2 linked regions of the Saccharomyces cerevisiae S288C genome follow. Changing the gene in region 1 together with any one later gene gives a genetic interaction. Each region holds a gene or a part of one and is shown on either strand. Other genes may lie near its edges. The genes, in order: RHO5 and TDP1.

Region 1 (3,433 bases):
CGTTTACGCATGCAGTGTTGTAGGCTCACCAGCAATTATGTTAGTTGAGATGTAACTGCTTCGCGTGAACACTACGTAAATGTTATTGTGTGGAACTGACGTGGACCTTTTCTGTGTTGCTTTTAGTATAACGATATCCATCCTTTTACTTGGATTTTCAAGGTATGTTGACCCTCAATAGTTTGAGCCAGCACGATGGCAGGCCCTTAGGCAAATCAAAAGCATCATGCGGCGGAGGATTTATCATCGTGATGTCATTTAGGATAACGCTATGCATCTTATGCCTGCTGCCAGACCGCGAATTTTTATTTTTTTTATGGTCTGCTTCTGGATCATGCGGGCCGGCCTTCTAAGACATTGACTACGCAGCCTTTCATGTACAATTTTACATTTGCCTGAGGATTGTTTGTCAGGTGTCGCGGCCACAATTCTCCGATTTTCTTCCTGCCATGTCCTGCTGCTTACATCAGCGCAGCACGTGAAAAAAAAGAGGAGGACTTTTGAGGATGGTTGAGTTTTTCTTTTAATCGTTTTGTTTCTTTATTGTTTTTATTTTTACGACATTTTCCCCTCGAAGAATATTTATCCGAAATCTCCTCAAACAAGACATAAATCAAGATGCAAATGGTGGTAGATAGAGAAAGCAACTAAAAAATGTCAAACAAGCGTCCTTATTTCATTCTACAGCGGTTAATTTCAAATACCCTAATCGGAGGTCTTATCTTATTTTTCAAGGGCAAGGCTCTCCACATCGGTAAGTGATGACCAGATAATGGAAAGTAGCAGAATTTTATTTATGTGCCATACAAGCCCGGAGAAACAGAGTAGCTAAAAAATTAAGGTGTGCAAAAGTGGTTTTGTTCCCCGACGCCCGGGCCTTTCTCTCCCCTGAATCTTTTCGTTCCGGCCCCCCTCTCTCAATACCAGATCTGCATCTATACTAAAGCTGCAGTGAGAGTAAACCGGAAAATTATCCTGCGTGTTTGCTTCGGTCTTAGCTTTTACTTGGGTATGCGAGAACCTCTAAGAGCTTAGACCGGTCTTCCTCCCTAAAAAGAAAATTATAAAAGGTTATTATCTGGACTAAAGCAAAAAAAAAACAACGTTTCGGCGTCCGCTCAAAATTTTCATTACGCTTCTTGGTCAAATCAGTTACGTAACGGGTTATGACGAATACGATGAGATGAGTAATTGCAGAAGGCTCCTATGCAGACAGCTAAGCAGTGCTTACTTGAATTACCTTCCCTTTTATTTCTTGATATATCGTCCTTTTTCTCTCTATCTTAGTTCTTGCGAGTACTGGCAATCATGTTTCTCCTTTTTTTTTCTTTTTTTTTTATTTTTTTTTTTTTTTTTTACTTTTCAGTTTCTCGTAGCTTTTCCTATTTTGCTATTTAAAGTAAGTTTAAATAGTACCCTCACTAAACACGTACGGCCGATCCACCAACGAACAAAAGCACGATCCTTGACCCATCATTGTATTCCAAAGCGTTGGAACATTCACTTTTTTTTTTCCGGTCTATTGCACAAGACAATATCCAGAATATTCAGTTGGATAGGAAATACAAGACAGGTGGCACCCACAAAGCACACGCCGAAATATTTATTAAATACAATATAGTATACTAATAAGTCTGATGAGGTCTATTAAATGTGTGATAATTGGTGATGGTGCAGTAGGTAAAACGTCACTTCTAATATCATATACTACCAATTCGTTCCCAACAGACTATGTTCCAACGGTTTTTGATAATTATTCTACTACGATAGCTATCCCGAACGGAACTGCGAGTAGCCCCCTAGAGCTTGACAATGGTAATGATAAAAGAGGTTCACTTTCATCTGCCAGTTCTTCACCAAGTACGGACAGAAAACTATATAAAATCAATTTATGGGACACTGCAGGACAGGAAGATTACGATCGTTTAAGACCGTTATGTTATCCCCAAACAGATATTTTTTTAATATGTTTCTCAGTAAGCGAACATGCTAGTTTTGCCAATGTCACAGAAAAATGGCTACCTGAACTGAAGCAGACTTCCAATATTGAAGGTACCTCTCTTTATACTAAATTAGGGAAGTATCCAATTCTATTGGTAGGCACCAAAAGTGACCTAAGAGATGATCCGGCAACTCAGAAAAAATTGCAGGAAGCAAACTCCGATTACGTGTCTCAAGAGGAAATAGATGAACTCGTACAAAGATGTGGGTTTATGGGCTATACCGAATGTTCAGCTGCTACCCAAGCAGGTGTCCGGGAAGTCTTTGAACAGGCGGTGAGGTACGCTATCTACGAACCAGAATCCCCTAACCAAAAATCAGCAAATCATACTCTAACTGATGAATTAACGACTGCAACAACCAACACCAATGGAGATAAAAATATTCGAGAACAAAAACAGCAACCACACCATAATAATAGTACAGATAGTACTCTTCCGAAAGGAAGCTTACAGCAGGAGAAGGAAGCTCTCAATATCAAACCCACAAAAAAGGGACAAAAAGACAAAATTCACGAGCAATCAAAAAGCAAAGGTAGTAAAATTGCCTCAAATAATCATCACAACAAGCAAGCTAAACCAAAGACGAGAAACGACAAGAAGAAAAAGAAGTCAAAGTGTGTAATACTTTAATATCAAGGAGGCAGAAAAAGTAAATAAATAATTACATATACCGATATCATAAATAAGAAAAAAAGAAATCTACACATATATTTACGTTCTCATTTCTAATCATCTTTTCTACTCTTGTTCTGACTCTTCTTTTTAGAATTTTGATTCCCGGTCTTATTGGCATTTCTCTTTGCCGCGACTTTCTTTTCCAATTGTAAAATATCTCTTTCCGTATTATCAAATAGTTTCTTCTGTAATTCCTCGTCATCAAATTCTTTACGAGCAAATTTCACAATTGAACAGTCTGAGATATACTTAACCTTCGTGTCTTTTAAGTTTACTTCCTCCAATTCCGGTGTCATTAAAGCGTACAAGAAACTTTGATCACCACGACGACCACTCTTGGTAAACAGCCACAATATGGGGTACAACAGAATACAGTAAAGTATTATTAACAATACCACCGAACCATTACTAATGACGCGGCGTAGGCTATTTGATCTCATAGTTCCAGGTTGAACCATAGTAATGGTAACATTTTTTCCTGTTCTTTCAGCGCCATTCGTCTTTTGGTTTTTTATGTCTTCGGTAAGTCTTCTTTGCAATTCCATCATACTCAATCCCAATTGTAGCTTGCTGCTTGCGAAAAACTTCAAGGCGCTTTTGTATTTGGCATTTTGCCACAACGGATCTTCTATATTAATATCACCAACAACTTGTAACCAGCAGGTGGCAAGAATTATTCTTACATCTCTATCAGGCGGTTGAGCCTTGAAACTAGGCTGTAATAAGTTTAAAAGATGGAAAATTGCTACATAGTT
Region 2 (4,441 bases), on another chromosome or scaffold:
GTGACTGTGGTTGAATTTTTGGAGAAGAAGAAGAAGATATGCTAGGTGAAACTGAAGGGCTTGTAGTATGTGAAGTTGATGCAAGTTGAGAATGCTTTCTCTTGAAAAAGTTGACGAAACCAGATTTTTTAGTAGCCTTGGTAGGGCTCTTCTTCCTTTTGACAGCATCTGCTCCCGAGGACGGCAATGATAAAGATCTACTTGAAGCGAATTGGTCGTTTAGAGGGTCTTCCTCAACTCCCTGATTGAAGTTGTTTCTAGAAATACGTTCTTTTGCATCATCTGTAAAGAACTTTCTATTCATGCAATCATACATATACTCTGAAGCATTGGAAGAATTCAATTCGATAACTTCTTGTTCGTCAGAAACTATTTTCGCTCTTGAACCCTTTCGTGGCAAATAATTTTGTAAGTTTGTTAAATACTCAGGAGCAATTTCACTAGCATTCTTATTCTGAGCGTCATTGTCACTGCTGTCAATCATCCAGGGAGATAAATCTAATGCGAAATCTGCGATGTTCAAGCTTGGTTCATCATACGCCAGCTGCCAACCGCCCAGGGTTTTATGCAGCGGTCTTATTAATAAGATGTCAATTTCGTCTAATGGATCCGATATTACTGGCCTTGGAGAGTTTGCTTCTATATCTAACTGCTGAATATATAATGTAGGGTCACTGATCTTGTTGCTGGTGGTGCTGATTGTTGGATTAGAATGTTGTCTTGTGGTTGGTTTTCTTTTTATTAGTTCCTCCACTACTTCAGATGAAAAGAAGAATGAATTTGATTGCAGTAAAAATTTTTGAGATTGAGCCAACCATAATTGAATCAAGGATTCAATTTCAGAATAATCTTTTAACGGGTCAAACGATGGAAAGCATTTAACCTCAGTCTCTATATTTATGATGTTTTCAATGTTAAATGGATAACATTCAAATGCATATTTCCTAGATTCCAAATATTTTGTTAGGAAATCAATGTACGACCGTAATCTTTTCTTGGCAAATATTAAAGAGTCTTCTGGCGAGGAGTCCATGTTAAAAGATAGAAACAAGTCCATTCTATTAAAGAGCTCATTATGATTCGGGTCGTACATTATTTGTTTGAATTCACCGTCTATGCAAATGTTGATTAAATTATGATTTCCTGAAACGGTTTTGATTAGAAGAGAAGAATCTGATGCCGGTAAAGTGTTCCAGTCCCATTTTTTTCTAGAATGGAGTTTCTTGACAACGTTCGAAGTTGCACCGTGTAGACCACCACCTCCCCGGCCATTGCCGACCATATTGGATACAATGAATCGCGGTGCAGAAGGGTCTGGTGAGTAATTAGCTTTCACTTCGGAAGTCGGAGTTCCGCTTCTATGACTATGTTTATTATTACTTGTATGATGATGATGTAGACCTATTTTGGAAAGCTGAGCGGACTTCAGTTTGGATACTGAGGATGAGGCAGCGGAGTCAGATGATCGTCTTGACGAGTTTGAGAACAAGTCATCCGCCAGTCTAAAGTTTGGCAAATGTAAGGGCGAATCAAAGGACGAGAGCTTATCTGAATGATGGCTTACTTGTGGTGAGTGTGATTCTACTGAACTACTTGATTGCGTGGTTCCATTTCTACTCTCTTTTTCTTGTTTCCCCTTTTCTTTGTCAGCATTTTTATGTTCAGTAATCATTGAACTTGTATGGTTATCATGTGCTTTTAAGTTGGAAATTTTGTTACTGGTTATACTGGTTAACCCCCTATCATTCTTACTATCAATGTTTTTTGCTTCCTTATTGGAGCCCATTGTATTTACTTGAGCAGTTTATAAAAAGTGGATAAATGAGGGGAAAAATAATAAAAAAGAAAATTGAACAATCCTTCAATATGTGTCCTTTAATAATTACTACTACTTTACACACTTCTCCAGTAGCTGCTGCTTGTTTCAGGTGATGTGAACAACGTGTTTCAGCGTTCTTGGTAAGTGTTGGTATGGATCCCTTCTGATGTATTTTCGGCGGCCGCACTAAACTGCGAAAATGGTAATTTAATAAAGGGCTTATAAAGAGGAAAATAATGCAGAGAAACGGTGAGCCCAGACAAGAATGATGATAATGTGTTTTCAACCGATCATTAATGTCACGAGAAACAAATTTCAATGGAACTAAGAGGAAGAGGTCGGATGTTGCCGAGAAAGTAGCACAACGGTGGAAGAGCGTCAGGTATAGTGCTGAAATGGAGAATATGGCTCCGGTCAACAGTAACAATGATAGCGACGACTGCGTCATAGTCAGTGAATCGAAAATCATTGATTTGACTAATCAGGAACAAGATTTGAGTGAGAGAATAGAAACAAACGATACGGCAAAAGGTGCCGTTTTTAAACTAATGAAATCGGACTTCTATGAAAGAGAGGATTTTATGGGAGAAGTAGAGGATATGATTACATTGAAAGATATCTTTGGCACTGAGACACTAAAAAGAAGCATACTCTTCAGTTTCCAATACGAACTTGATTTCTTGTTGAGACAATTCCACCAGAACGTAGAGAACATAACCATCGTCGGCCAAAAGGGTACTATTATGCCTATCGAAGCCCGTGCTATGGACGCGACACTGGCAGTAATATTAAAAAAGGTCAAACTTATTGAAATAACGATGCCCCCATTCGCTTCCCACCATACGAAGCTGATCATAAACTTTTACGATAATGGCGAATGCAAAATATTCTTGCCATCTAACAATTTTACGTCAATGGAGACTAACCTGCCTCAACAGGTGTGTTGGTGCAGTCCCCTTTTGAAAATAGGTAAAGAAGGGCTACCAGTACCGTTTAAGAGAAGCTTGATAGAATACCTCAATTCGTACCACCTGAAAGACATTGACGAATTGATTACAAAAAGCGTAGAGGAAGTTAACTTTGCTCCTTTGAGCGAATTAGAATTTGTATATTCTACGCCCTCCAAATTTCAGTCGTCGGGTTTACTGTCGTTTTACAATAAACTAGAAAAACTTTCTGCTGGCACAAGTGCTAGTGATACTGCAAAACATTATCTATGTCAAACTTCATCCATAGGGACATCTCTATCAAGAGCGCGAGACGAAAACTTATGGACACATCTAATGATTCCTCTGTTTACCGGAATCATGTCCCCTCCAGCAAAGGACACCGCTGGGAGGAAGAAAGCAGAAATACTGCCAACGAATTCATTGATTAATGAATATTCGCAGAGAAAAATCAAGCCGTACATTATTTTCCCCACCGAACAAGAGTTTGTCACCAGTCCCTTAAAGTGGTCCAGTTCCGGGTGGTTTCATTTTCAATATCTTCAGAAAAAGAGCTACTACGAAATGCTGCGAAACAAGTTCAAAGTATTTTACAAGCAAGACCCTGCTATGGTTACTAGAAGACGAGGGACGACGCCCGCGCACTCTAAGTTTTACATGCATTGTGCAACAAACTCCGCAGGGCCCTGTGATGCATCGCAGGTATTTAAAGAACTAGAATGGTGCCTTTATACTTCGGCAAACCTCAGCCAAACAGCATGGGGCACCGTTTCAAGAAAACCACGCAATTATGAAGCAGGAGTGCTTTACCATAGTCGCAGGTTAGCAAATACCAGGAAGGTCACGTGCCGTACTTTTACACGTGACCGTAGAGGCTGCGCGGGTAATCCCACCCATGTGGCCGTGCCATTCACGCTGCCAGTCATACCATACGACTTAGCTGAGGACGAGTGCTTTTGCCTTGCTCGTCATGAGAACGACTAACAAGTAAGAGCGCGATGTTGCTGTCCACTTAGGCATCACTATATGGGGCCAGGAATGGCAAATTTACTTGATAAACTTCAGGCGATTGGATTTTGGTGCTCAGAATATTTTTTTCTCGGGCCGAAAGCGTCTTTAACTATTCCGAGCTAAAGCTTCCGAGTCCTTTATTCGGTCTTTTTTTATTTTTCAAGATTAACTGTATATAAATAGAGATGGTATGATTAAAAGCTCTTTTTAATAGATGCTCCTTCTTGAAATTTACTCCCACTGTGCTGCAAGAGGTTAGACGCTTCACGCACATTTTTGCTACAATGACAAGTGCCGCTACTGTTACTGCTTCGTTCAACGATACTTTTAGCGTATCCGATAATGTCGCCGTTATTGTTCCTGAAACGGACACTCAGGTGACCTACAGGGATCTATCCCACATGGTGGGTCACTTCCAGACCATGTTCACAAATCCTAATTCTCCATTGTACGGAGCTGTTTTCAGACAAGATACAGTGGCGATATCCATGCGTAATGGGCTGGAATTTATCGTCGCTTTCCTCGGTGCTACTATGGACGCTAAAATTGGCGCGCCCTTGAATCCCAATTATAAGGAAAAGGAGTTCAATTTTTATTTGAATGACCTGAAATCTAAGGCGATTTGCGTCCCAAAGGGTACCACAAAGTTACAGAGTTCTGAAAT

The links.
Region 2: mutations in RHO5 (region 1) and TDP1 are lethal when combined (synthetic lethality), as found in Saccharomyces cerevisiae (one study listed by BioGRID).

The regions. Positions count from the first base shown.
Region 1 is NC_001146.8:298,854-302,286, reverse strand, and holds RHO5 (Rho family GTPase RHO5), read left to right. Parts: upstream 1-1,637; coding exon 1,638-2,633; downstream 2,634-3,433. Other genes in the region: PBR1 (putative oxidoreductase), read right to left, coding at 2,729-3,433. UniProt on the Saccharomyces cerevisiae protein: Small GTPase that negatively regulates a MAP kinase branch, downstream of SLT2, of the PKC1-mediated signal transduction pathway.
Region 2 is NC_001134.8:667,972-672,412, reverse strand, and holds TDP1 (tyrosyl-DNA phosphodiesterase 1), read left to right. Parts: upstream 1-2,115; coding exon 2,116-3,750; downstream 3,751-4,441. Other genes in the region: YBR225W (uncharacterized protein), read right to left, coding at 1-1,786; PCS60 (Pcs60p), read left to right, coding at 4,062-4,441. UniProt on the Saccharomyces cerevisiae protein: DNA repair enzyme that can remove a variety of covalent adducts from DNA through hydrolysis of a 3'-phosphodiester bond, giving rise to DNA with a free 3' phosphate.